Oryzias latipes: one gene and its partners. Each later gene encodes a partner of the first gene's protein in a complex. Links are inferred from orthologs where the notes say so. Each region holds a gene or a part of one and is shown on either strand. Other genes may lie near its edges. The genes, in order: wdr5, dr1, KAT8 regulatory NSL complex subunit 1, kat14, tada2a, kansl3 and phf20.

The links.
Region 2: wdr5 (region 1) and dr1 share a complex: the UniProt entries of both Homo sapiens proteins name them as parts of the ADA2A-containing complex. The link is inferred for Oryzias latipes from reciprocal best matches to the Homo sapiens genes WDR5 and DR1.
Region 3: wdr5 (region 1) and KAT8 regulatory NSL complex subunit 1 share a complex: the UniProt entries of both Homo sapiens proteins name them as parts of the NSL complex. The link is inferred for Oryzias latipes from reciprocal best matches to the Homo sapiens genes WDR5 and KANSL1.
Region 4: wdr5 (region 1) and kat14 share a complex: the UniProt entries of both Homo sapiens proteins name them as parts of the ADA2A-containing complex. The link is inferred for Oryzias latipes from reciprocal best matches to the Homo sapiens genes WDR5 and KAT14.
Region 5: wdr5 (region 1) and tada2a share a complex: the UniProt entries of both Homo sapiens proteins name them as parts of the ADA2A-containing complex. The link is inferred for Oryzias latipes from reciprocal best matches to the Homo sapiens genes WDR5 and TADA2A.
Region 6: wdr5 (region 1) and kansl3 share a complex: the UniProt entries of both Homo sapiens proteins name them as parts of the NSL complex. The link is inferred for Oryzias latipes from reciprocal best matches to the Homo sapiens genes WDR5 and KANSL3.
Region 7: wdr5 (region 1) and phf20 share a complex: the UniProt entries of both Homo sapiens proteins name them as parts of the NSL complex. The link is inferred for Oryzias latipes from reciprocal best matches to the Homo sapiens genes WDR5 and PHF20.

The regions. Positions count from the first base shown.
Region 1 is NC_019870.2:23,025,019-23,029,032, forward strand, and holds the start of wdr5 (WD repeat-containing protein 5), read right to left. Parts: upstream 2,801-4,014; 5' UTR 2,610-2,800; intron 1,974-2,609; 5' UTR 1,950-1,973; coding exon 1,869-1,949; intron 1,674-1,868; coding exon 1,565-1,673; intron 410-1,564; coding exon 336-409; intron 214-335; coding exon 124-213; intron 1-123. Other genes in the region: bromodomain-containing protein 3, read left to right, coding at 3,166-3,189.
Region 2 is NC_019862.2:24,028,850-24,033,098, forward strand, and holds the start of dr1 (protein Dr1), read right to left. Parts: upstream 2,801-4,249; 5' UTR 2,183-2,800; coding exon 1,963-2,182; intron 1,793-1,962; coding exon 1,629-1,792; intron 402-1,628; coding exon 255-401; 3' UTR 1-254. UniProt on the Homo sapiens protein: The association of the DR1/DRAP1 heterodimer with TBP results in a functional repression of both activated and basal transcription of class II genes.
Region 3 is NC_019877.2:19,788,183-19,791,671, forward strand, and holds the end of KAT8 regulatory NSL complex subunit 1, read right to left. Parts: coding exon 3,449-3,489; intron 3,365-3,448; coding exon 3,307-3,364; intron 2,866-3,306; coding exon 2,753-2,865; intron 2,675-2,752; coding exon 2,422-2,674; intron 944-2,421; coding exon 737-943; 3' UTR 501-736; downstream 1-500. UniProt on the Homo sapiens protein: Non-catalytic component of the NSL histone acetyltransferase complex, a multiprotein complex that mediates histone H4 acetylation at 'Lys-5'- and 'Lys-8' (H4K5ac and H4K8ac) at transcription start sites and promotes transcription initiation.
Region 4 is NC_019859.2:454,268-458,410, forward strand, and holds the start of kat14 (cysteine-rich protein 2-binding protein), read right to left. Parts: upstream 2,801-4,143; 5' UTR 2,639-2,800; intron 1,035-2,638; 5' UTR 880-1,034; intron 812-879; 5' UTR 775-811; coding exon 522-774; intron 419-521; coding exon 297-418; intron 237-296; coding exon 115-236; intron 5-114; coding exon 1-4. UniProt on the Homo sapiens protein: Component of the ATAC complex, a complex with histone acetyltransferase activity on histones H3 and H4. May function as a scaffold for the ATAC complex to promote ATAC complex stability. Has also weak histone acetyltransferase activity toward histone H4.
Region 5 is NC_019871.2:10,133,050-10,137,256, forward strand, and holds the start of tada2a (transcriptional adapter 2-alpha), read left to right. Parts: upstream 1-1,407; 5' UTR 1,408-1,508; coding exon 1,509-1,533; intron 1,534-1,923; coding exon 1,924-2,030; intron 2,031-3,551; coding exon 3,552-3,611; intron 3,612-3,692; coding exon 3,693-3,784; intron 3,785-4,207. UniProt on the Homo sapiens protein: Component of the ATAC complex, a complex with histone acetyltransferase activity on histones H3 and H4. Required for the function of some acidic activation domains, which activate transcription from a distant site. Binds double-stranded DNA.
Region 6 is NC_019867.2:17,071,567-17,075,702, forward strand, and holds the start of kansl3 (KAT8 regulatory NSL complex subunit 3), read right to left. Parts: upstream 2,801-4,136; 5' UTR 2,625-2,800; intron 2,338-2,624; exon of another isoform or gene 2,291-2,337; 5' UTR 2,277-2,290; coding exon 2,068-2,276; intron 1,947-2,067; coding exon 1,776-1,946; intron 1,688-1,775; coding exon 1,597-1,687; intron 1,291-1,596; coding exon 1,105-1,290; intron 1,018-1,104; coding exon 889-1,017; intron 773-888; coding exon 656-772; intron 575-655; coding exon 476-574; intron 153-475; coding exon 81-152; intron 13-80; coding exon 1-12. UniProt on the Homo sapiens protein: Non-catalytic component of the NSL histone acetyltransferase complex, a multiprotein complex that mediates histone H4 acetylation at 'Lys-5'- and 'Lys-8' (H4K5ac and H4K8ac) at transcription start sites and promotes transcription initiation.
Region 7 is NC_019863.2:26,153,538-26,157,037, reverse strand, and holds part of phf20 (PHD finger protein 20), read right to left. Parts: intron 2,795-3,500; coding exon 2,606-2,794; intron 2,417-2,605; coding exon 2,321-2,416; intron 1,654-2,320; coding exon 1,498-1,653; intron 1,182-1,497; coding exon 1,000-1,181; intron 917-999; coding exon 817-916; intron 1-816. UniProt on the Homo sapiens protein: Methyllysine-binding protein, component of the MOF histone acetyltransferase protein complex.

The DNA of each region.
Region 1 (4,014 bases):
TTTTACCCAGATGTCATTACTTAGGAAATTAAAAAGGGGAAATATACTAAATTAAAGGGTAAACAAGAATAAGTGCCAAAAAAATACGTTTTGGCTCCTAGAACAAGTGCAGAACCTTCTTACCGAGTTGACATCCCAGATTTTCAGGGTTTTGTCGTCTGATGCAGACACCAGCAGGTTGGAATCAGAGGACCAGGCCACATCAGAGATGCCCTGCAGGATCATGGGAAATAGTTCAGACACATAAGAAGGAGAAGGGCGCTTCTAAAATCTATTCCTCCCACAGGAAATCCAGAGAACATATCAGAGCAATATCAGAGTACAGTTTTACTCACAAGTTTGTGTCCAGATATGGTTTTCTCAAACTTGCCATCATACGCTCCCCAGATCTTGATGAGTTTATCAGCAGCTGGAACAAGAGAACATCAGTCAAATCTATGAATTACTGTCATCACATCAATTATGAAGCCAACACTACACACAAATGTAACACAGCATACAAATTGATCCAAATGACAAGTTTAATACATCTGATAAACAGAAAACTATATTTACTAGATTAGAACATTCTACGTTTAATTCTAATTTGGTTCTAGTTTTCTCTGATTATTTCTCCTTGACAAGTTCATTTTGGGGCTGGGGGCCTCAGTGAATGTTAACTTCTTAGTTCAACGTGTTCCCCACCTCCACAGCACAGAGGCACAGTGACGTATGTTAGTTGGATGGATTATGGGATATTGGAGCATCAGTGAACAGCACTTTATAAGTTTCTATTTTTTGGTTTTCCCAACAAAACTAAACACTGTTGGTTCAGAAAATAAATCATCATCAGTTTCAGCATGAAACTGTCACACTTTACCATCTTTAGCTGATATCTGTCAGTTTATATCCTCGAATTCCAACATTATTCTGCTGATTTAGAGTGATAATTACAATGCGTGAAGTTTATTTGTACTATATTCTACTATATTTATAAAGACAACAAATATGCCCAAACATTGTTCTTGAAAAGATAGAAAGATTTCCAAGTATTTGGATGCTGGTTACAGCCCTGGCATTGTCTTACCCTTTCACCCACCTATTTCATCTCTGAGACTAACTCTGGAGGCGGATCGGAGAATGGAACAAAATATGACACCATGGTGAAATGGGCCTTTTAAAGTCCAACGTCAGGGCAAAAAGCCAAAGGGGCAGAAAGGAATAACACTACTAAAGTGGCTTTAGTAAAAAAATATATATGTACATAACTACTTCACATGTTTTGTTCTAACAATTAATCCGAAAAATCATTTGAAATAAACTCAAGATTCCTAAATGTTTGTTTTTTTTCTCTCTCTTTTTTTTTTTACTTGTCCTGTCCAACAGCTGGGCAGGTAGATGAGAGCTGACGGCCTCTTGTTTAGATTCCTAAATGTTAACATTTTGTAAACTCTACATAGTTTTTTTTTTTCATTGAGTAAACTCCCTTTGAACAGGGTCAACATCAACCAATATAATGGTTTCATGTTGAGTACATTTTGAGACATTCATTGCTTAAAAGCCACACAGAGGAGGATGAACTCACATGAGCTGGCGAGCCATTCTCCACTTGGACTGAATTTGACAGAAGACACGGCTTTGGTGTGTCCTGCTAACGTGAACTTCAGGCTGTAGTTTGGCTTTGCAGGCGCAGACTGTGGGGGGGCACATTTAATGCCATTGGTAAGATAGAAAAGAAGTACATATCAACTCTGCTAAAACAAAAACCAAAATGCATTGTTCACCATTTAATCTTGTATTAATTGGAAAACAAAAGAAACAATTGATGCAAAGCTGCAGTTGCACAAGAACACGGCCCAGAGTACTCAGTCATTTTCTTATATCCAGACCTTGCTTTGGCTTGCAGATGCTGACTGCACAACTGGAGGTTTTGTGTCAGTCTCTGGTTTCTTGTCTTCGGTTGCCATCATGAAAAAAATAGCATCTACTGAGCACTGCAAGGAGACAGAAGAGCACACAAGTATTTCAAATTACATGCTTGCACAGCCCCTTCGTCAAATTTATTATACTCTCGTTTATAGTTTAACGTGTTGTAGAAATATTTTGTTTATTAAAAGGTAAAGTTGATGCATACAATTGCAATGTAGATTGTATAGCCGTATTGGCTAAATTAAGCGTTTACAAATTAGCTCGATGGCTAAAAATTTTAGCTAGCTCAGTTAGCTTCGGTACGCTGACGTATAAAAACTCTTTTTTCTTAACTGGCAAAACAAAAACATCGCGAAGTGGCATTTGATGTACATTAAAGTCAGCTTCCACATTTTTAACGTCAAAATGTTTACCATAAAGAAATAATAGGTGAAAACAGCATCATATAACAAAAGCGACGCGGAATACCTTCCTTTGGCGCAACTTCAGACAGACTTTATATATTTGTACTTGAAAAAAAGACGCGTTGCATGTTCAAATGGATATGAAATAGACGTTAAAAAATATAAAGTGCTAGATGTTCAGGAAAACTATCAGCACTATGTACATGCGGTCACTTGTTTTTAGCTATTGACAACCTGCCACAAAAGCGGCCCTCTACTCCTCAGACAATGAAGATTTACGCAAACGCTCATACTTACAGAAACGTTTTACAGATTCACCTCCAGATTTTTTTCCTCCACCGAAGAAAACACGATTAAAACCAGTCTGTTTTTTCGTAATATGATCCTAAACTTACAAAAAACTAATCTACCTGCCTCCTTGTATACGTTTGGCTGCGAGAAAACCAACGAAGAAACGAGGGAATGTAGTGTGCCAGTGCAATGCGCAGGCGCGTCACACACAGAAGTAACGGAAACCTGTGAGGATCAAGTATCGATGGCACGAGTTAGAATAAACGTCACAAAATGCAGTTTTCCCTTAAGACGTAAACATTTTGCAATTAATATTTCAATTTACCAGAAAAAAAGTTAAGTGAAGCAAAATATATAATTCTCTTTTGATAATAGTATTATCAAAAGAAAAATATGTCAGTGCAAAATATTTGCGTTTTTTGCCAAATGAAAACAGTGGACACTCCAGAACACTAGATGGCAGTATTCCCCTTTGACTTCTGGGCTGACGTGCCCAGACAAATAGACACGAATTGAATTGCCAGCCATGTAGGTGCAGCAGGTCGGGAGAGGAAGTTAGCAGATGGTGACTGACTTCGCCGTGGAGGTACTTGAAGCGCATACTTTTCTGTTCAAGCTTCGGTGTAAAGTTTTACTGTTTTTGAAGAGGAGCATTGCTTGAACTTTTATTCCAATTTAACAATACGAGTTGGTAAACAACTTGCCGCTACCCTCCCTTCCCGTTAGATGATGATCGGAGTTTTTTCTCGAAACGGATTAAAAAGAAAACTTAGGTGATTTTTTTAAATTGCTTAAATACCTGATATATATTATGACTAGTTAAAATAAAAAAGTCAGACTTTTTTTTCAATAACATTTTATAGCAGCATTTTTAGGTGTTGCAGAGTTAAAGAAATAAAGGATTTTCGTTCACCACCAGGCAAGAAAAACATTTCATTTGTGCACAGACTAGCTAATTATGATAGCTAACACGTTGGACGTTTCTTGACCTCGAAGAAAATATTGGTATTCATTTGCATTGTCTCTTCAGGAAGTCTGTGTGGTTTGACAAATAATTTTTTACAATAGTTGTTGGAAGTAACGTTTTGGGGACTACGCCTCCATCTGCTAGGATACAAAGCCCTTATTTAACTGAGTAAAACTTTGAGAGTTCGTGCACACGTGAAGCATTTCAGTATCCAGTAGAAGGCATTCCTCGCGCGTGTCCAACAACAACAGGGGTTCTTGTGGGTTAAAGTGATAAAACACGCGGTTTTTGTCACGTCCGCCCACTTCCGCCTGGCACGTTCTGCAGTTCTTAAAGACCCTTTCTGAGGAATGTGAAGGAGGGAATCTGCTGCAGTGGTTTTGGTTTGCTTTCATGGAGCTGTAGCTTCCCATGTTTACATTTTTAAGTTGGTTAATTACTCCA
Region 2 (4,249 bases), on another chromosome or scaffold:
AAAAAACCCAGGGGAATATAAATTTAATGAAAAACTTCGCAAACAGCCTTTCCATTTTTACCATTTTCCGGTAAAAACGCTTCTTTGAATGTGCATGTGGGGCCGTTTCTCCCCTCGCATCCCTTTCTTTAGCTTTCTAAATTTCAAGTACACAAACATGTTTTAAGTCCCTGTTCATGGCAAAACTGAGATTTGTGTACCAAAACTTTCCTAACGTTAAATTCAAACACAGTAAAGTGGGTCGCGGGGGGGGGTCACATTTCGTCCTCTTCGTCTTCATCCTGAGAAGAGCCCGCCTGCTGGGCAACGCTTGCAGATGCTGCTGCCATCTGTGCCTGCTGGGCAGCCTGCTGCATCTGCAGCCACTCCTGCTGTTCAAGCTCCGCCTGCTGCTGCCGCGCCTGCAGAAGACGCACATTCTATCATGAGTGCTTGACACAATGTGGCACTTCAGGTTTACCCATTCAAGCTCATGGCAACCTGCAGTGAGTCCGGCCGGTTACTGCAGAAATAATAGTTTTTGGTAATTTTTTAAATATATACCGTACATGTAACTTCTCAAAAAGGTTTATCTTGTGTTGTTGGATATTTATTAAATGAATATCAAATACAACGCAGCAAATCAAACAAAGCAATACATAGGAACAAAATGTTTTTTTTAAAGGAATGTGAACAAAATACATCTCTCTGACCTTAAAGACCCACTCAAATAAAAATCATGCTTTTGGTGTTTTTAACATGTTCTTGTAGCATTTTTCTAGCTTACAGCCCCTCAAACCCCCAACCTAACTTTACCAGTGCGACAAAAATGATAAGCAATATTGGATTTCCAGCTGTATAGCTGAGTCGGAAGCCTGTTAAGACGAGGAAAAAGACGTACATGGATGCATTTGTCTGCAAGAGGATGTATCAGAATGGAGCAGAGAGGGAAGCTTGTGGCCCGCCGATTGTAGCTTTTTCCACACAGCATTTTGTCGTTTGCTCCTGACTCAGAACTATTTGAATGAAGAAATGCTCAGAAATGTAATATGAAGCTTGTTTTTCTTATGATACGTCTTCCATCATCAGAAAAATGCCACAAGAAGATTTTAGAAAACACCAAAAACATGATATTTTATTTGAGTGGGTCTTTAAAGTAAAAAACCTTTAGCAAAAACACACCATGGCCTGTCAGTTAAAGCTGAAAGGGCCACATTAACTTACTTTGAATGAGCAGAGAGTGCTTTGTTTCAGGACAATCAGCATAACTCAAAGAGGAAGTTACATTCAGGTTGATTTAAATGTGTATGCCTATATGATATTTGAAATTGTTTTGTGTGTACATGTCTTCATTTCTACAATACTTGACAGGAAAAGATTTTTTTTCATCTTAAATACTTCCTCTATGAGCTTAGTTAAGTATTTTCTATTAAAACACCTAAATTTGTTTGCATCCAATCTTAAAGGGGATTGATATCCTTAAATGGAATGACCAGTTTAGAAACTTTTGAAAATGTTAACAAAACCAAGCCCTTCTGTACCTCAAATGAAAAGTACAAGTTGTGTGCCCGTGTTCATCATGATCTGTAGGTTAATATTATTGTGGGTGTTCAAGCCACATTTGAAGGTGCAGTTTTCTGAGATCAGACCTTGGCAAATAACTCCTGCTGCTGCCTCAAGAGTTCCTCCTCCGGAATGCCCAGGTTTTCCAGTCGAGAGCTGGCCTTCCTCCTCTTAAGAGCAACCGTTTTGCACTCCTGCAGCACGTCTTTCACCTCTGTGATGTACGAGCCGAAACCAAGGCTCTCGAGGGCTGTGGTGCAGAAACACGAGGTTGAAACTACACTTTCTATGATGTGAAGCTTGCAGGAGGATCCGTGCTCCTTTGCATCCCCCCCCCCCCCACACACACACACACACCCACCCACATAAAGGACGAGCGATATTTAAAGAGGTGGTAAATACATGTAAATGAGAACCAACCGTTAATGACATGCTCTGGAGATATGGTCTTCTTGTCGGATTTGTTACAGATCTCATTCGCCTCGGAGGAAATAAGATGGATGAACTCTGTGCAGCAATTGACCACAAGCTCCCTGGCATCGTTGGCCACCCGTACGTTAGGCAAAGTTTCTTTGATCATTTTGTTGATAGCTGCTCTCGGTATGGTGAGGTCGTCGTCATTTCCAGACGAGGAAGCCATAGTGATGAAAAAAGGGGGGAAAGGAACAGAATAGTGGAACTCCGCTTCTTCGAGAAGATTTATCACGCGTTCACTGTCTTCTCTATGTCCATGTTACAGTAGACAGATAACGGTTCAAGAAAATATCGATGGAAATGTTGCCAAGCGAGCTAGTCTAAGTTAGCCCACTGGCTAGCTTACCAACCAAATGTCAAACAATGAGCAGGTTCTGTTGCTTGAGCGGCGCTCCTATATCGTATTTAATCGGCGAATAAATGTCCAAGATTGCTCTGAAGCTTACAGTAAAAAAAGGGAGGGGGAAGAAAAATTATATCCTTATATCCGTCGTCCGTGGCGAAACTGAGACGCAGCACACAAGTCCAATGAAAGCGGAGAGCATGGCTAAGCTAAGCTAACAATTAAGCGCAGATGAAGCGGAGCTGTTTGCTTTACGAAGCGCAAGAATTATAGTCAGTTCTACTCGTAAATAATTGGAGTATTTATATGTAAGTCCTGAACTTGACCAAAATTTGATTGCAGATGTTTTGTTTAGGTTTATAATTTGGAGTTGTGTACTGTACAAACATTAGCTGAAATGTGTCCGGTTACGACGTCAGACAAAGGGCGTTTTTGATTGGCTCCGAGTGTGCGCTATAACAATTTCCGGTGCCCACCAGGATGGAGTCGGGTGGTACAACAAATGATTGGAAATTGTTCCGCAGGGAGCTACAGATGTAATTATCTTTTTTTTCTTTCGTTACAAAACCAAACTATTATCTCTGATTTTTCTAAGATTGCCTACTTTTGGAAATATATTTATTTTAAATGAAGAAAAAAAAAGTATGTATCTACAAATGCATTGTTTTTAGCAGTTGTAACATTAATATTAAGAATAATTTGATTCATATAATTTGTGGTTGCTGATATGATTCATAGTTAATTTTAGATCATAGTGAACCAGTAAATTTATTACGATTCACTGACCTTATTTTGATCCAGAACATCTTCAGCCAAATATTCAACCAATGTGGCTCAGAGATAAATACCTGGGTACTAACAGTGCAAGGTGAAGTTTTTCCACATTCCTTGTATTTCTTTCAAGATAATCAAGTGTAAATTAAATATGTGTACAAACAAGCCAGTAATCAAGTACCAATGTCAAATCCATTCACATTTTAGTTTCATAAAGTTTTGCCTACTGTTGTTTTTCCACATAAAAAATAATACAAATGGAACATTATCAGAACATTCTACCACACTGTTTGGTCACGTCTTTGCTAAATCAAAAGTGTTTTGCTGTCATCTCGTGTGTGTGTGTGTTGTCCACTGTGATGCACGTGGTCATTTTTAAGTTACAGTAAAATAAACCTACAATGCCTCAATCCAAATGGTATTTTTCAGTAAAGATTATAGTCAATTTAATTTTGAAATGATCTTATGGTATTTATCGATTTGATTAACAACTTGTCTCAGACTTTGATCTGGATAAATAAATTAATTAAGTGTTACATCCCTACTATTCTTTGTTTTATCTGACTTAGAGTTGCCCCGTTGCCATGTGTGAACATTTTGTTTTTAAGTTATATTTACACTTCCAAAAAGTGTAAATATACATTAAATCAAGTTCTACCTGTAGAACTTGATCTAATGTAATTTCTAAAGACAAACATTTCAAAATGCCAAACAGTAGTTTCTCTCACAATGATCTTTATTTAGTGGCATAGAAAAATTAATAAAGAAATAGAACTTCCTTTGAAATTATGATAAATATTGTTGTTAGTGTTAGTTAATTCGTTTAAATAATAATTTTGGATTTTTTAACAGAAGCTAGCCAGCTTATTGAGAGCAACAGAAAAATATAACTGGGAACAATTTTACAATAGATCAAAAGATGGTAGAAGTGGGATTTAAACATGTTTAAAGTGAATTTTAATTAACACAGTGGAATTCGCCACTGTGTTAACTGTTTAAGCAGTTCTCATGCATCAAAATTTACACACTTCTCAAACCTTTTTTATTTAAGATTGCCTTCAAATACATATACTCTCTCAATTCAAATACTACTTCTGTAGAAGGCTTTTCAAAATG
Region 3 (3,489 bases), on another chromosome or scaffold:
ACGTCTGCGCAGATGCTGAAGGAATGATTGTGACGGTTCAAACACACAAAGGTTGTGTTGCTCTGGAAAAGGCGAAACGACAAACAGAACGAGTCAGGAATGCAGAACAGAAAGACGACAAACCAGCTCAACTAGACTGGACTGTGGGAAGTGCTCTGGTGATCTTAGGTGACCCCTAGAGGTGGTGGCGGCAGGGGGGGGGGGGGGACCCAATTTCCAAATGTACCTGTTTGAGAGGGGGTGGAAGGAGAGGTGGGGGCTTTTTTTTCTCTTTTGTTATTCGTCACTCCACTAAAAATGTACATGGGAATCACAAGCAAACTATAGAAAACACCCTTTGGCCATCTTTTGAGGAGTCCGCTACATAGTGCGCTACAAATGTACACGCGACATATGAAACACCACTAAGCCCGCCCCCCCCCCCCCCCCCCCCCCCCCCCCCCCATGTACATTGTTTAGCTTACTACAGAACTTCTTTTTTGTAATGTGTTGTTTTATACTTTTTTTTTACATTTATATTTTTTGCTGTGACAAAAACAAGTGTGGGGAAAGGCTATCTTCATAATGTTCACTAAAAACTGTGAAAGTATTAGACTGATGTTTGAATATCAAACAACAGGAACCCATTATATATATATATATCTTATTCTGCTTTGAGGTTCTGCTTGTTAATGCCAGAGAGGAGCTGCGCAGCGGCGAGGAGGAGTAGGCGGAGCCACCTCCCTCGGCTCTGCGCTCATCGGTGGGTGGAGGCCCGCTGTTTGAAGCTGCTGTCGTCGTCACACAGCAGCTCCATGTCGTCTGAGTCCAGGCGTCCACAAGCTGTTGCTCGGCAACCTGAGATGCTGCGCATTCTGGGCCTGATGTGGTCGGGCTCCGCCTCGGGCTCTGGTGCCGGGTCTTCTGGCAGGGGGAAGCTGCGGCGCTCCCACGGCGCGACCGTCTGGTTGGAAAACAAGAGGATCAAATGAACAACTTTGAAGCTTTAAGAGAGTTGAAACATAAATCCTTCAGTGACGATCCAATCAGAATCATTTAGACTTCTATTCAGGACAGAGTTAGGGGTTCATGTAGAACTTTGACGTGTCGACCAGCACACGCCATCAACACAGGGATCGTTATCAAGGTGGTGATCTCGTTGACAAATCAGGATCAGTGATCCATAGATCAAAGCACGATCCCATCTGTTGCTCTATGGATGAATTACTGGATCTATGAAAATGTATTTAAACTGGAGGGCCCGACGAAGCGGCTCCACACCCTCCCCACCCCGTGGAGAGGGTGTGCAGAGGTAAAATCTATCTTCTATCTCTAGAAGAGGAGACCAAAATCAACAAAACAGAACAGATAAAAACAGATTAAGGAGAAACCATAGTATGTATCACTTTAAACAGTCTCAAGGTTTTCTGTGAACTTCCTGGTTGACCTCATCAGTAAACAAAACATAACCAGCACTGTTGTTTAGGATCATTTTAGACCTAATCCTGAACACTCTCTTCAATTTCCAGTTTTCAAGTTTTGTTGACTACAGTTCCAGTAGATATTTGACACAATGTAGAAACACCTGAATAAAAATGCAACACTAAAAAACGCTCACAGGGTTTTCAACAGACATGTTTTACAAACTGATTCCAACATAAGGTTTATATAATATTCTTAAAATTATATTCATCATATTTGTATTCTATTTTACTCTGTTTTTTCTTTATATATTTAAAACATTTTTTGAACTTCTTTCAGTTAACTGATCTCTACGGAAAACACTCGTTAGCTTTACTTAGAAAAAGAGAAGCTTCTGGTTTTGATTTATAAACTTCAAATCCAACAGTCTGCATTTTAGAGCTTTAATTACATTTTATGGAGTCTACTTTTAACTATTGTATATTTATAAAGATCAGTTATGTGGGACATTGCTAATATTTATAATTGAATTTTCAGGAACAGCTGGGGAGTATTTGAGTATCCGGATACTCGTTACAGCTGTAATCAACTACCTGCACCAGCTCTGATTCAACTGCAGTGGAACTGCTGACTCGACCTGAGCATCGGCTGTGATCTTTATTCTTAGACCTCAGGAAAAAAACAAAAGAATTAAAACCTGAGGTTTGATGAACATTTTGAAGGAAACTGTGTGGGACAGCAGGAAATATTTCTGTGGTGACCTAGTTTAAAGCAAAAATCGGTTTGTTTTTGCTCTTCCAGAGATTCCCAGCTCTCATCCAGACCATCAGAGTGGAGAAGATTTCAGAACTTTGCTCTGACTGGGTCTCCTCGGTCTGATGAACGCTGTGAAACCGTTCAGCTTGTTCAGCTCATGGTTGTGTAAAAGCAGCTGCTCAGTTGTTTATTTAAAGATTTAAAACCAGATTTTGTGCCACTAGAATCAGACAAACGGAGGCGGCGGTCGATCGGGCCACATACCCGCTCTTCAAAGGTGAAATCTGGCGTTGAGCATCGCGTGTCCTCGTTGGACAGCAGCCGGTGGGAGTCCCTTGAGCACGGGGTCTGGGGGTTGGAGGAGGTGTCGGGGCTGGGCGGACTCATGGGAGACGGCACATGACTGTAGTCGTGGAGCAGGGGGTACGGGCCGGGGTCTGGGGATGCAGGCTGGGGGGTGGGAGGGTTGGTGCCACACAGCAGCGGTGTGGTGCGCCCATCCACAGACTTATATGACCTGAGGGAAACAAAGGCGGGCTTCAGAAACTCCCCCCTACCACGAAACACACGGACACTGGAGCCTGTGCGTTTTCACCTGCTGCCCCTCCGTTTGGCAGGAGCCAGCGCCATCCAGGTCCAGCGGCTGCGCTCCTGGTCCTCGTAGGGCTGATGGAGCTGAATGAAGGCTGCATCCGAGAGGTCCTCCACCTGCATCACAGCATGACATCAGATCTATCAGCCGTTTGTTTCAGGAAGAGCTTCCCAAATGGCGAGCAATGATGGAGCCATCTATTATTGCAGATGCCAGCTCAGACATAAATGGATCCATTTGTCTACAAGCAGATGCATCAGAATGGAGCGGAGCGGGGAGCCTTTGCCCCGCCCAGCGTATTTCCTACGCCATGCATACAACCTTTTTCAAATAACAATTCACTCCTGATTCACGCCGATCTGAATGAAGAAATACTCAGAAATGCAATTTTAATTTTCTCCATCAGCAGAAAAATGTTACTAAAACAAATTTAAAAAACCCAAAAACAGCCTTTTCAGATGAGTGGGTCTCAGTGTTTTAACAATGCAACGTCAGTCTGCTGCACAGAAACATGCGATCTAAGCATCGCCACGGTGACAAAAAGAATGGAGCTTTACCTCGCGCTCGTTCTCCTCCTCAGTTATGGATTGTGAGAAAATGTCCGCCGAGCGCCAACTGACAAAACAAGAGCCATGAGAGTTTGGTCCAAATGAAACAACAGGTGGAAGGGGCAGATCACGGGGGGGCATTTGCACCTACCTGGGTGTGAGAATCTCTTTGTATTGCAGCTTCTCCACCCT
Region 4 (4,143 bases), on another chromosome or scaffold:
CTTCCTGCAGAGAGACCGGGTCAGCGCCGGCGGGGGCCCACCTGTGCGGAGCCGCACAGGTGGGCCCGGCCGGCGGGGGCTCACCTGTGCGGCGCCCGGCCGGCGGGGGCTCACCTGGTTCCCAGCAGGAAGTTCCAGTGCCGGCCGATGAAGGCGCAGATGTCCTCCTTCCAGCGGAAGTAGCCCTGCCGGCCCGTCCCCTCCAGGGACAGGTTGTACATGGCCAACATCACCACCTGTCAAACACACACCTGTTCAGCCCCGCCCCCTCCCTCAGCGGGGTTTCGGGGGTGTACCTGCTGCCAGGTGAGCCGCATCCTCTCAAAGCTCTCCTTGCCGTCCTCGGAGCAGCTGCAGCAGGTGAACTTGAAGAAGTTGTCTCCTTTCAGGTAGCTGGGCTGTTCTCCTCGGAGCTGAGCTGCAACAGACACCCGTTAGAGCCCCCATCGCCATGGCAACGCTGCATGCAGCTAGGCTTAGGGAGCAGGATTTGGCCACGCCCCCTGTGGTGATGGGCTCACCTGCAGGGGTCCACTTGTGACAGCGCTCGCAGTAGAAGGACATGTCCTCGCAGGCCCAGCCGCCCTCCCCCTCCTCCCCCAGGTCGCTGGTCAGCGAGTCCCCGCTCTGGTCGTGGGACAGGTCCACCGAACCCTGATCCTCCGACTCCACGATCAGCAGAGTCTCCCCCTCCACCTCCCCCTCCTCCAGCCCCTCTGACGCCGACGTGCACGTCACCTCGTCCGCCGCCAGGGGCTCGCCGCTGCTGTCCATGTCCGCCCTCAGCCGCAGCGCCACCTGTGGGCCGGTCCTGTCGGTGCAGCGGCGTGAGCTCACGTCCCCTCACAGCCTCCACTCTCTCCGTTTCACAAAACATACCTGCCTCACGTGTCCTGTGGGCGGAGCCTGGCCTCAGCACGCCGCCGCTCCTCCTCCAGGTGTCGGGTCAGGACCTTCTGCTGCTCCAGCAACCGCAGGTTCTCCTTCTTCCTCTCCAGCCGCTCCAGATCCCGAACGACACCCTGGTGGAGGCGCTGCAGACGCCGGAGCAGAGGGGAGGAGTCAGTGAAAACGACACCTATTGGCCGCTGGCTGCTCGCGGCACGAGACGCCGGCATTAACAGGAGAGCAGTGATCCCTGGACCCCTCATGTTCTAGTGTAGAACCGGGTCCAGTCCCGGTTCAAATTCCTCCACTGCAGCGGCTGCAAGTCTGCATCCAGAACGCATCCTGTCATAGCCAGAACTGGGTCCAGAACAAGAAGGTTCTGTGTTCTAACGTTCCTCCTGCAGATCAGGAGCTGCATGCGGTTTGAGTTCTAGAGTTCTGTCTGCAGATTAGAGTCCAGAATCAGTCCAGCGGCTGTTCTGATCCCAACCAGACGTTTGATCCTCTTTCTAAAAACGTCACTAAGGATGATTTACAACAAAGTCCCAGGAGTGAAACTGATGGAAGCCCCCATGAAAGTTCTGATAGATGGGGGGGGCATGTAGGCGGGTCTGTGGTGTTCAGAGCCGGTCCCCCCCAGTTCTTCTTTGGACAAACAGGTGGAGTGGACGGCCCCACGAACCGCCCAGCATTTTAGAAAACAGAGTTTGTGTCGTAAAATGCCGTACTTGAACTGTTTGTGTTTGGTGCTTTGGTTGGTCTGGGACCGGTTCTAACATGTGACAGAACCATGTTAGCAACAAATGAGCCCAAATAAAATTAAAGTTAGTCAAAGGAAATGTGACACGGTTACAATGATTTAAGGTTAAAATGTCTAATAAATCCCAAGATAATCCAAATGTTGTGATCAGCATCCGTCTGAATGAAAAGAACAGGAAACTGTCATTTATGGAACAACAGACAGGGCCCTAGCATGGACCCCTGTGGACCCCCGTGGACAGACAATGGGCATTCTATTTGACCTGAATTCTATCACTTTTATTGAATTACCGGAAAGCCTGAATTTAATATTTGAATCTTTTTTTTCTACGATTTATGGTGTCGAACGCTCCAACCAGCCCTCCACGATTCCAGACGACCGTCAGTCCAGGAAGAGGGTCAGCCGGCCCTCTCCTGGTGGGCTACCTGGATCAGGTGTGTTCTGCCAATCAGAAACAGGCCTGATTCTAACCAGCATCTACTGAAGCAGGGTTGGTGGTCCCGGTCCAGAACTTTAGGAGCTCGACGTCTCAAAAATAACTCACAAACGTGTGGGCATCCCTGGAGTAGGAGGTCGGTTCGAATCCCTCAGGTTCGTTTTTGGAAGGGATTCTACTAAAATCCTGAAACACTCTGATAATAACAGGAACTGACACAATAAAACGCGTTTAACTTCAAAACCAGAAAATCAGCACTGAAGTCCACTCAACCGGAAGTCCGGGGGGAGGTCCCGAGGTCAGTCAGCATATATTTACATTAATGTTTATCACAACCATAACAGTCCAAACATAAACAGAAAACTAAATTTAAGAGAACTCTGCTTCTGTTGAACTTTTATTTTTGAGAGTGTAAACCGGAAGCTCTGGATAACTTGACGGACAGACGTTTTGGCATCAGCGTCAGCAGCGTCCGCAGACGGCACGCTGATGCTTATGGCCTTAAACCGGGTAAGCCGTTAGCCTCAACGCTACCGGGTGTTGGACCGGCTCACCTCTCGGTCCCAGGCCTGTTTCAGGTGCACAGTCGCCACGGTGCTCAGAGTCAGAACCACAGAAACTCCCAGAACCACTTTGGAGGTCACAGACATCACGGAGGGTTCAACTCAGCGCGAGCCCGCTGCAGCTGCCGCGTCCCGCTCTTCCTCTGCGCGGCTGACCGCTGAGCTGCGACGCAGCGCCCCCAGCGGCCGGGAGCGCAGCGGCCAGACTTTTTTTAAAAACTTTATTGTACAAACACAATTTTACAAGATAAATTTTAAATGTGCCAGGAGAGCATGAATATTACATGCATTTTACATAAAAACATTCAAGTTTCTACAGCGTTCATACTGACATTCACTGGTTAAGACTTTAAGAGATGGAATTGAGAGACATTTTACTCTGATTAACACGGGGAAAAAATAGAAGTTGAAGAGAATTTACATTTATGAATATCAAATTTGCCAAATATAATATAATTATTAGTTTTTTAATTGAGTCTAGGTTTTTTTTATGATAGCCATAAATATTTGAAAATATTAAATGTGGAAGTATATTCCAAATTTGTTGTAGTTTTTTTTAGGTAAGATTTGATCCAGTTGATCCATGTGTTATTTAGTGTTTTAAATCCAGAAAGTTTAGTCCTCCATTGTCATATGAGTTCATTAAAACTGATTTTTTTAAATAATGTACACGTTTTTTCCAATTAAAGTTAAATAAAACTTGTAAACAGATTTTAGTGGTTGACCGTCGGCATACAGAGATAAAGCAGAGTAGGTGAGTGGAGGGATTCCCTCTGCCTCTGACAGCAGGACTCTGCCCTTTAGGCTCCCAGCGGCCAGACAACCGGACTGAGCGCGTGCGACGTGACGTCATCTGAGAAAATAATAATAATAATAATAATGGATTGGATTTATCTGCGCTTTTCAAGACACCCAAAGTTCTTACATTGTGTCCATTATTCATTCACTCCTCATTCATACTTGGTGATGGTAGCTACAGTTGTAGCCACAGCTGCCCTGGGGCAGACTGACAGAGGTGTGGCTTTCGCGCCTACGGCCCCTCTGACCATCACCGGGATCATACATGTGCATTCACACACCAGTGGAGCCACACTGGAGGCAAGGAGGGTGAAGTGTCTTGCCCAAGGACACAACGACATTTTGGCTGGTGGGAGCGGGGATCGAACCGCCAACCCTTCAATCATTGGACGACCCGCTCAACCACCTGAGCCACTGTCGCCCCTGCAAAATGACTTACTTCCAGTTTCAACCAAATAATGTTTCAGCTAAACGTCATTTCTGTTCCTCTGCTGTCTTCTATTGGAGGAAACGTCTTCCTGACTCGCTCTGGAAAACTGTTTGGACCCTGCATCAGAAATGATGAATCAATATCATGAGAGACGTCTACTACAGACTCCTACATAGAATCCATCCCATAATCAATACATGATCAGATAGAAGAAGACTATTGACCCCAACTGTCTTCTCTGTAAACAACAGAAATGCAATATTACTAA
Region 5 (4,207 bases), on another chromosome or scaffold:
ACTTGTGGGCATGTGGTGTGAATGCTGCAGCCAGGAACAAAAAAGGAAGCTCACTCTGGCTCAACACACAACAGCAAACCGTTACACAAAAAGGAGAAGTCTCTCCTCATAGGTGAATAAATCATGACCCTCTCAAAGGATGATTACAAGCTAGTATGACGGTGAGCTGGAAATTCCTCCAAAAGAGTAAGAGTGTGCGTGCATCTCCTTAACATACACAGACTATCGTTAAAAACCGTGTCTCTCCCTAGAGGCTCCAGAGATGAGTCGCAGGCTAGGATGCTACCGAACAGACCAATCAGGATGTATTGAACTCACAGAGAAGGCTCAAGCAAGCTGGAACAGAGCAGCCCATTCAGAGTTAACCCATCATGTGGTTTAGGAAGCTGCCCTCATCCTCTGTGGGGATTTGCAGTCTAAATATATTTGCTCTGAATCACCTCAAAGAAAGAAGGAATCAGATTTTCTGGTATCAATGACAGAAATGCAAATATTAGAATAAAAACTGTCATAATTAGTAACTGCAGAGAGGTTAAGAGGTTTCATGAAAATCAAACAGTCCTTTTTCCAGCCACATCTGTACTAAATCAGTCATTTCACTCAAATACTTATTTTTTCTACCTTTAAGTGAGTTTGGCACATGTGGATTTGCAGTTTTATGCATTAGGGTTTCAGATATTTGTTTTCCTAAGGCTCCTCATGGGCCCTCACTGGCATGCTCTTGAGGGTGTTTGAGCTGTTTTTGAATTGGGGGTGCCAAACCTGGACACAGGCACTGGAAAACATTGGTACTCATAAATATTTGCTGGTTTTCATATTAAAGAAAATGTCTTGAAGCCTTTTGCAGGCCAGGCAGCACCTCTGCAAAAAGTTTATGGAGGACAAAAAGCAGCATGGGGGTGTTGTGACACAGAACATTCATCATCTTTATTTCTATTTCTCACATGATGCTTATGCAAGCCTCAGGTAATCATCTGTGCTGGGAGGGAGACAAAGGCTTTCAGGGTGCTCATTGTTGCCTTAAGAGACATAGAGCAAGATCAGCACCTTGTGGCAATATAGGGAAGTACTGTCGTCATGGTGATGAGATGGAGAAACTAAAAACAAGTTAAAATCTCTCCCCATTGCAAAATAAATGTAAAACAAAAATCTTAAGAGAAGGAAAAGAAAGTTAAAGATGAAATACCTTTTTATAAAAATCATTTTGCATTAAAATGCAATATTCCATGTGGCTTTTTTATATATTTCATACATTTTTTTAAACAACATTTGTTTTCTGTTCAAATTTTTGAGTTTCTTCTGCCTTTGTAAGAACCTATGAGGACATGGCACACAACTATTAAAACATAATAGTATATATATCATTTTGTGTGGTGATACACGACCAAAACTATCGATATTCGGAGCTCGATTAGTTATGACGTCATCAGGCACATAGCCGAGTTCTGAAAAACAGATCGACCCAAATTCAATTTTGGTGTTGTTATTGAGAAGCAAATAGCAATTAAATGGACCGAATAGCGTCTTTTTCAGGTACGTATTGGCATTATTATACACACAGTTGAATTTATTGCAGTTTTACCAAGTATCCATCGACTTTTTGGAAGGTTAGCTGTTTTTGTCCATAAAGCAAGGTCTGCTAAGCTATCTTTAGCATTAGCATCGCCGTCAAAAACAATGCTATTTTTGTTTGCCGCAGTGATTTGTTGAAAATATTCGACCTGTTGTTGAGACATTCAACATTATCATCATTTTCAAGCTCGACTAGTAAAGCTAGTCCTTCGCCCAAGATAACATCTGTTTTGTGCATTCAAGTTTGCCCCAAAATCACGACTTTAGGCTATATGTATCTTTTTTAACTGCGTGTTGTTACTATTAAAACTGTTACTGATAATATATATATAATTATTCTGTTCATTTTAGATGACCCCTTTGATAAACCGCCTTGCAGAGGCTGCTCATCCCATCTAACCGAACCATACATCAAGTGCGCAGAATGTGGACCTTCACCTTTTTTGTTGTGTCTTCAGGTAAGCCAGATGAGGATGCTTATAATTTGTTTGTTTTGGCTCTTTAGAATGTGTGTTTGAACACAAACCGAATAACTCAGCTGTAACTTTACGCAGACAGACCACAGTTTAAACACTTTGGACAAAACCTTACGATTTTTTTTTTTAGCCCAGTATTTCCTTGTTGTTGTTGCAAAACTTCTTGGCAATAAATGTTAGACTTCTGCAAAATTAGTTTGCTTTATATTTTAAATGAGTCCATATTTGTGAGGAACGCGCATTTGTGCAATGAGCAGCAGAAGGTATGCAAGGTTTTCCAAATAGCCAAACTGCTTTTATTTCTGTAGCCATTGATTGACCCTTATTTTTGGAACTTCTGGAGGTTTCCACATCAGTGCCCGCCCAGCACTGATCGCCTTCCACAGATTTCTAACTACTATACCTGATTTGAGAAAAAAAATTCAAATGAAAGAACATGATGCCATCCCACGGCAGTGTATAATAAAGAGGTGTCAGGGTGTTCCGTCCAGTTCTTTCATGTTCCACTGATTATCCTGTTTCTTAACAATTGTTTTATTTATTTTTTACATTGCCAATACCATATATCTTCCAATAGTGGCTGGTCTTCAATTAATGTCAGGGCTATTATTGGAGGATATACGGTAAGTCTTACATCCATTATTAAATAATATATTTATTGCCTTAGAAACATTATTACATTTGAGAAAAAATCATGTAGCACAAATTAAAATACTTTTGCACTCTGAATTTTGAATTTGTTCAAATAGCATTAGATCGTATTGCTAAACCAAATAATGTTTTGTATGTATGTTCTTTATTATGAGTGTTAAGTGTTACATTTTCTAGGGTTTTCTATTGTTACAAATATTCTATGATAGATACAATTTTATTAAAAATTAAAATAATTGACATATTTAATTTTGTATCTATAAAATATATCAACTATATATTAATAAGTACAGTTTTTAAATATAGTATTACATTCTGTAGTAAAAGGGTATTAAAAGTACATTACAATGTTGTTGATCACATTTCTAAATGTGTTTCTTAAAAAGTGACGCTTTATTATAGTTTTATAGCACACTGATATTATGAAATCTTTTAAAATTATTTAAAAGGATGAAGTCAAATTGTGTCTAACCTGGTTTAATACTGTGCTTTCTCACACACCTGTGTTGAATACAAATTCTTTTGTTAGTTACTTCCAAAAATGCACTTGTTTTTTCTTTCTAGATTAGAACTTTGTTATTTTGCAAAATGATTTCCTTCACTGTTAAATTAATGGGGAAATAAATGACCAGATCTTTACGATTGGGTTTATTTGAAAAATAAGCCACATTATAACTGCTGCTTCTTTCATGGTCGTCATATCGATACAATTTATGAATTCACTTAATTTGCATGTAAGTTTTACTTTTCTCAGTTAAGAAAACCTCCTCAGTGCATTCAAAGAACTTTTATTTAATGAACAAATCGTGTCTTTTACCTGACCAGCTTTACCCTGAACTTATTTCGTTCCAGTGTTTTACCAGAGGATTTGAATACAAGAAGCATCAGAGTGATCACAGATATGAAATCATGGTGAGTGGAGCTGCAGTTGAGTTTCTCGGGTGTAGCTAAACATCATGTTTAGCGGGCATCTTTTGTGTTACCTCGACTCAGACTTCAGACTTCCCGGTGCTGGAGCCTGGATGGACGGCGCAGGAGGAGATGGCTCTGCTGGAGGCAGTCATGGATTGCGGGTTTGGGAACTGGTAAGAGGTCGAAGACATTTTACCAGTGTTTTCTTTTTGAATACACTTATTTTTACTAACTTCAAAAAGCAAGTTTTTAATGTTTTATCATTTAGCTATTTATCATTGGTGTCATGTTAGTTTCATTGTCTTTTGGTTTCAAAATGTGACAATTTTTACAAGTCATTTCTGCTGTTTAATGGAAATCTCACATTAATTATTTAAAAAAGAAGATTGGTGAAAATATTATTTAACAGTGGTTATATTGTTTTTTAATTTAAGTGTAATTTAGTTACTGCCTCGAAGTTTGGGGAAAAGCATATTCTGTCCATATATATAAAGCCTTTGTTTCATTTACAGAAAAAAGCAATTAGTATAATCAACAAAAAGGCAGCAGAGAATTCACTAATAATTTAATTGATTTTTTAAAAACTTTATTATTCA
Region 6 (4,136 bases), on another chromosome or scaffold:
CATCAGAGAAACCTGAAATGCAACAGCAGCAAATTAAAGAATGTACTGAATTCAGATTTTAAATAACTTCCAAGTCTTACATGACAAGCAATGAGAGCGCCGGCGTTCCAGCCAACCAGCACGATGGGCTTGTGGGGGAAGTGACTGTGAACCTGTTGGCAAAAGTAGCAGCACATGAATAAAGCTGCCGAAGGCAGACATCAATTTTTATTAAAAGATACGTTTGTATTGCAAATACAATCCATATGGTACTTTCATTTTAACTTCACTAATATTTTTGGTTGGAAAAACTTGAATGTTTCTTATTATATAAACTTAATGTCTTTAAGATAAATCCTGTTTTTGATGAATTGCTAAGAAAGCAACCAAACATAGAAAAAAAAATACAGTAAGATTTTTTTCCACATGCCTATTAAAAACAAAAAAGCTGCACTCAAATTGATTAATTTTACAATCAATCATAAAGATCCCCTACCTCCATGACCTTTGCCCTTACAGTCCCAAGCATGTGCTCCAAACACTGAGTGATGCTAATACTGGCTCCACTGTTTACGTGAGTGTGCACTGGGATCACCTGCAACACAATCATTTGTTGTTGTTTTAGCAATTGACACCAATAATCCGAATATCACAAAGACTTCAATGTGTTTCAGACCTTTCCCAAGCAGGAGAGCTGGGACTGCCAGAACCTCATCCGCCGTGTTGTGGCAAGAGCCGGATTGGATGGGGTTGACGGGGCAATAAGGATGAGAGGAGATCCTGGAAGCTTACTCTGAAACAATCAAAAACAGACAGGGATACAGATTGTGCAATCAGAATTTGCTGAGGTAAACACAAAAGTCATACAATGCTATTGTCACACCAGGAACTGAGGTCTGAGGCTTTTACCGGTTTGTTTTGAGAGAGAACCCCGACAGCCGGATCCCATGGACGTTTCAGTAGCAGCGACAGAGCCTCTGCACTTGGAGCTCCAGTTTTTGCAGTCGGAAGTAACATTCTGTCTATCAACGATGGCAGCTTTGCATGTGTAGAAAAAAATGTATTATTAAGATGGAAATCCATCAAAAAAAAAACTTTTTTTTTGTCCAGTCACTAAGATCATACCTTGGTTTTGAGAGTCTGCAACACATCAAGGTAGGCAGCGAGCATCGGCAAGCTTAAAGATTCGATCAGAGTGGTGTGTAACCACTGTGTCAGTTTGGTGTCCCAGTTCATACTGGCGAGTGCTTGTCGAACTTTCCTGGCACACTTGTCCACAGCAATCCTTCTTAAAATGGGTTCATTGGAAGCCTAAAGGGAAAAGGGCAATACAAGTAACAAGTAATCAATTTCATTCAAAATAAATATTTTTGCAGAAATTCTCTCTTTTAATTTAATCTCACTGACTACAGAGAAAAAAAACCTATTCTCAATTTAGGTAATTTTTTAAAATCTAAAACAGGAGAAAAGCATATATTACTTTGCTGTCTAATCGTTGACTAAGTTTACAATAAATATAAACAATACACCAGCTTTTAGATTTTTTACCTCTATGTATAAAAAAGAATCATTAAGAAAAACAAATCAAAGAAAAGAGACTTTCATCAAATACATTACATCTTCATTGGCGAGACGTGCTAATCTCTCAGCTTGTAGAGCTTTCAGGACTTTATTAAACAATTTGTTTTGTGCCACCGACCATCCTGTCCTGAAATACCACAAAACATAAAGTCAAATTGAAATCACTGCAACTGATGTTCATGGTGTTGGTTTTATGTGAGTTTATTATCTTTTACTTGTTTATATGTTCCTCCCAGTCATCTGGGGGTGGGGGGCTCTCAGCAACTGTTCGAGCAAACAGAACATGTCGCTCGCACTCCTTCATCACACCAAGAGCTTTATGGTTATCATACAAAGGAACTGGGGAGGGTGTGACCGTCTCCACATCTATCAGGGAATCAGAGTCTCTGCAAAACAGAAAACATGGTATAGATGTAAAACATAAAAATAGTTGAGCAAAAAAATCCATTTGTCCTACCCAGCTGATAAAAAAAAAAAAGTCTTATTTCATTAAGCATTCAAACTCACAATGATGGCTCAGGCTGGCGACGGGGGGCAACAAAAAGCGTCCGTGTGGGGCGTGCGCTGCTGGCATCTGGGTGAGCATTCCACGGTTTGGCATAGCTGTGGTCTAGAAACACCAAATCCAGCTCTCTCTCATGAGCCGACAGCTGGAAAAGCAAGGATGTACTCATCTTGTGAGCTGATGTCTGCAACTCTTTGTCCACACGATGCATCCTCTTCCTGGGCCCTGAAGGGCCCAAGGAAAAAAAACAACAACCCTGCAGTCAGAGAAAACTGACGGGAAAAAGAAAATTTTGTTTTACTTCATACACAGAGATCTGTTATATTTACCATCTAGAAAACTTACATTCAACAAAAGTAACTTCAAATTAGGTATCAAACAGTTGTGATCACACACATTAATGCATGAAAGTTACTTATTTGTAGCTTTCGTGAAGTCAAAATCTAAAGTTAAAGAGTAAAGGCGTATTCGGCGCGGTAAGCAAAACTAGAATGCTAACATTAGCACAACTAGCTCTGACAGCCAGGCAATGACGTTATCGCCTTTTCCCCCAGATTACCTGTTCCTTTGACTATTCCATGCTGACCATTGGAGTCTGAATTTATTTTTTAATCGAAAAAAATAAATAAAAAAATAATGGAAACGGGGAATTTGTTAATAAACGAGAGTAAGCTATCACCACAATGTTACAAGCGTCAAGCCCTCACTTCCTCCTGTTGTGTGGTTTGTTGCCAAGTTTATCTCCTTATCCTTCTCTTTGGAGAGGACAAAAGAAACATCATGGCATGGCTGTATTTCAACGAAACTGGCAACCCAGCAAGTAAGGCGCGTCAGTGTGAGACTCGCAAAATACGAACTGGATCTTCGGATTTTTGATTACCAGTACGTTGAAATTAGGATTCATAATTAATAGGAGCATGTCCAATTTGAATTATGTGTAAAGTTTTTACATTTAGTATTTTTGTGTATGTCACGCAGTGTACAAGCACTAAATCAATCACGGACCCCACTGTCAAAGTACCAACTTGCTGCTTCAAAGTTTTTCAACGTCAGAATCAAATGAAGGCTTTCTGTGAAATAAAAAGAGAAAAGTGAGATTTCTGTAAAAAGGCAAGGCCCCTATCAATACAGGGATCGTTTCATATCCACAGACAAACATTTCAAGAAGACATTCCTGTCATTGTAGGGGCCTAGGTCTACTGAAGTCAAATGTTAGTTGTTGGTTAAAAAGGTTATCAACATCAATAGAAATTTGTTCAGACTTGAAGTGATGGAAAACACTAAATAGATAAAGTAGTCTGCTTTGGGTATTATGTTAGCTCCGTAAAACCTATGAAATTTCTCAAAACATGATGTCCATTCTTCTCTTTTTATATTGAGCAGCTACATTATTGACTTTTGTGATTCCTGTGCACAACACTTTTAAAAATCCAAGGTATATTAGGCTTTTTCCCCCACAGTTAAATCCACCATTTTCTTCACCGTCTTGTTTGTGTTCAAGTGACAGTAGATGATGCACCACATCACAGGGCAGTAAAATAACAACAGTCAATGGTTTTTGCAGCCGTACGAACAATGTTAACAGAACAAACTGCTTTACAACTTTAAAAATATGCAGTTTGTTTGTGTTTAAAACAATTTAGTGTTTATTCAGCCAGTCTTGAATCTTTCAATCTGCCAAGAAGACACATGATAAGCAGAACAGCTTAGCTGTTTTTACACAGCCATAACAGGATGCTCACCGTTGCTCCTTTTTTTTTTTTCCAAATGTGTGTTTTAAAAAGTTAAATGGACACCCTTTCTTTTAAAAAACTGTTATTTTGTTATATTGATATTGTTCCTCTTTGGAAGTAAAAAAAAATCACTTATCAATACCAAAAACCGCATGAGAAACTTTGACGACACTTCTGTTTTCTTTATTTTCTTGACAAGCCACTGAATAAACAAAACACATCCCGTCATGGGAGATACAACTGCCACCGTGAAAATAAAGTTTAAAATGTATAATTTTTGGGGAAAAACAGCTGTTGCAACATTGTGTTGAAACAAACAAGAATACCACTTCTGCTGG
Region 7 (3,500 bases), on another chromosome or scaffold:
CAGACACTTTCGTGGAGCTCTTCACAATAAATAGGATTTCTCAACATCATCCTTCTGTGTCTTCCATTTGAGCAGTGAATTGACATTGTGTTCGTCAAATTCACTGCCTGACACTCGTCCAAAAGTGTGTCCATAAACCTGGTGGATGCCTTGACGCATGTGGGAGGAGCCATCGCCAAAAGTTTTTAGCATCTTTGCTACATGTGAACTTAGCATTATATTCACAGCAATTGATGAAAAATAAAAATAATGCTATAAAAATATACAAATTTTTAAAAGACATCATCACGATACCCAGATGGCCGGGACAATTGGCCAAATCTTGCCCTGATGCATTCATAATAAGCACTTTGAATGAAGCAAACAGCCAGAGCTAGCCGTTTCCTCTACACATGCGAAATGACCGCATTGTTCCAAGTTTAAATGTCTTTTAGCAAATCACAGTTCACTACTAACCAGTTTTAACCACTAAGAGTAACCCCCATTTCTCCACTTTCTAAGCGTGAGAGAACTAGGTAGTTGAGGTTAAATGATTCATGACCAGTTCACGACCTTACTGACACAGCACATCCTAAAAAGTTTTTTTTAAAGACAGGAAGTCGCATCGCGTTGACCAGAAAAAAATTTAAGACCATTCACGACAACTTAATATTTTAGATGGCCTTATTTTGGTCAATTAAATCTAAGACCTTAAAAGATTTCATCAAGGATCCGGGGCCACCCTGTAAGCATTTAAACTGGATTTAAAAAAATAAATTAAAAAAAGCAAATATGACTTAAGGCATGCTACCACTGCTTTGTTCTTCCTTCGTTTACCTGGAGGGTCTCTGCAGATGTAGCATGTGTATCTGTCCGGGACGTTGTCCTCCAGCAGACCCATGCAGGTGCCGTGCTGCCAGCACAAACAATCTTCACACTAACACAGGAGAAACATATTTCACCAACTGAAAGGCCGTGTCCCTTAAAGCAAACCTTTGGAAAAGTAAACTGCCAGCTCACCTGAATCATGAAGTCATTCTCTTCCTCCACTTCACAGATACATCGGACAATTTCTTGATCGTTTGTGTCCACGGCACCAGAGTCTGTGCTAAGAGGTGGAGTAGTGACGTCCAAATCCATGTCGAAGTCATCATCGCTCCACCCGCAGCTGTCAGTGGACCAGTCACTTATGCTGTCCTCGTCTACAGGAACCAACACAAAAGGATTCAGTTTAACCCGATTGAAAACTCTGTTAAAAAAAAGTGAGCTCTAAATAAAATCTGATTTATGTGATTAAGCAAGCAGGAGCAGCAAGCAGCTCAGGCTTCAGCCCACCATGCCTTCCTATGGGAGCGGCAGCATTTGTTTTAAGGTGGAGGAAGATTTGTCACATGGTGGACTGAATCCAGAGAAAACAGAAGAACGTAACAAGAGGAGCCAAAGACGTTCACAGAAAGACACAATCTGCACAAACTAACACACACACACAGACTCTCACACCGTCACAAAGGTACCCACCATCCACATGTATCTGCTCAGAGAAGCTGTGTCCAGGCCTGCTGGGGTAGGCCTCGGGTTTGTGATTGTGTGAGAGGGGGGGTTTGAGTTGCAAATTCAATTTGGAGTGAAGACCCAATACTGAAATGTCAATATTCTCCTCACTACCTGTGTGGTCTGTTAACACAGGGAGGGGGGAAGCAGATGTAGAACAGAGAAGTAAGCTTTGAAAATGCTCAGCGCCCAGGAGGAAAACGTGACAACAAACATTTGATTAAAAACTTCCTTCAAAACGTGTCCTCTAAAACATTTTTAAATCCAATAAAACTAAAAATCCCAGAGCCCCACCCCTTCACATCATTGAAAATCCCCAAATGTTCTCTGTAGATATTATAGTGAGTTAATTCAGTAGTATGCAGGGGTTGGGAGATATTCAGGTTTAGAAGTGTCCTCTACAGATGACAAACTTTGTCAGGAGGATATAACACAAATTCATCAAGCCTCCGGCCAAAGGAAGCCAGGCAGGATGTACAACAATGTCCATGTCAACCCTTCAAATATGTATGTGTGTGAGTGGATGCCAATAAGAGACAGAAAAAAGTATTTTCTTCTTGATTAGTCTGCATTCGAGCGGCAAAACAACTCTTATTATTACCAAAACTTAGGTTCTAAAATAAACTGTGGCTTCTTGAAGACTCAGACCAGCAGGACACACACAGAAGCTCGATCAGCACACAGAAAGGAGTGAATGAGGTGCTTTAACTTTGCACACAATGTCACAGCCAGAGCACATGCAGGGCAGCAGCTTTTCGACCTCGCCCTGTGCCAGGGACCTGGTTCTTACCAGACTTGGCTTTCTTTTTCTTCTTCTTCTTCTTGAGTTTAATGCGGAGGAAGTCCTTCTGTTTTGGTTTCTCCTTAGTTTTGTCTTTTACAGACCCTGGAGACCATTGAGTGAGAAGAATTAAGCCCAATCCAAGTAAAGCCAAGATAATTCCACTGGTACTTGAATAGAAGTGTATCGTACGAGGTCAAACCAACGATGAACAGCATGAAATATGTATAAACAAAATAAAAAAAAGGAATCCTTTTTTATTTAAATAAAAATGACACCCAGCATCATACTGACCAAAGTCAAAGCCACCCTTGTCTGAGTCCTGCAGCTGGCAGCTGATCCTGTCCAGCTGGTTCTCTTTGCTCTTCTCCCTCAGCAGCGCCCTCTGCTGTTGACCATGCGTGCTTACTGCAGGTGGTGCGGATGTGCGCCTGCCAGCAGTCTTCACATCACCACGATGAGCTGCACCCCCCACAGTCGAGTCTGTAAAAACCAGAAGAAAGGTCAACACGGGGTTAAAACATGTTTGGTGAGCCCCTTTTTTTCTTTCAATGGTTACATAGACTTATTCTATTAGACCAAACCTGGATTAACCAGCCTTAAATCTGTGGATTTGGTAAAAATAAATAAATAAATAAAAACTCCATTGAGAATCCCACGACTTATAACTGAAAATACTAGAGAAAATATGAAAAAAGGCATTTGATGAATACAGTGTTTTGTCATTTATCACAGGGGTTATGTTCTAAAAATAACCCAAAATAAGTGACATTTGCAAAGTAGGAATACAGATGTTTTAAGGCTGTAAATTATCTTTAATCCTACACTCCTCTTTAAACACTTTTCTCAGACAGACGTGGACATTTTCACACTTTTCTCGTGCTTAAACTCTCAAAGTTCAAACCTCCTTAGAAAAATTAATCTAATATTATAGAATAAAAAAGATTTACTCGGGATTCAAGATTTATTTAGATTTGGCAAACTGAGCACATTCTGTACAGGAGAGACGGCACGGATGAGATTGATCGAAAAGATAACATATTTCCGTGCATATTTCTTATTCTGATGGTGATCAATGTTTCTTTGACATAAACAAAAGAAATTGTAAAGCATTTCTTCAAATGTATATTTACAGATGTCCATCTTCTTTATTTAAATAAAACTTCACCAAAACAACAGAACAAACACT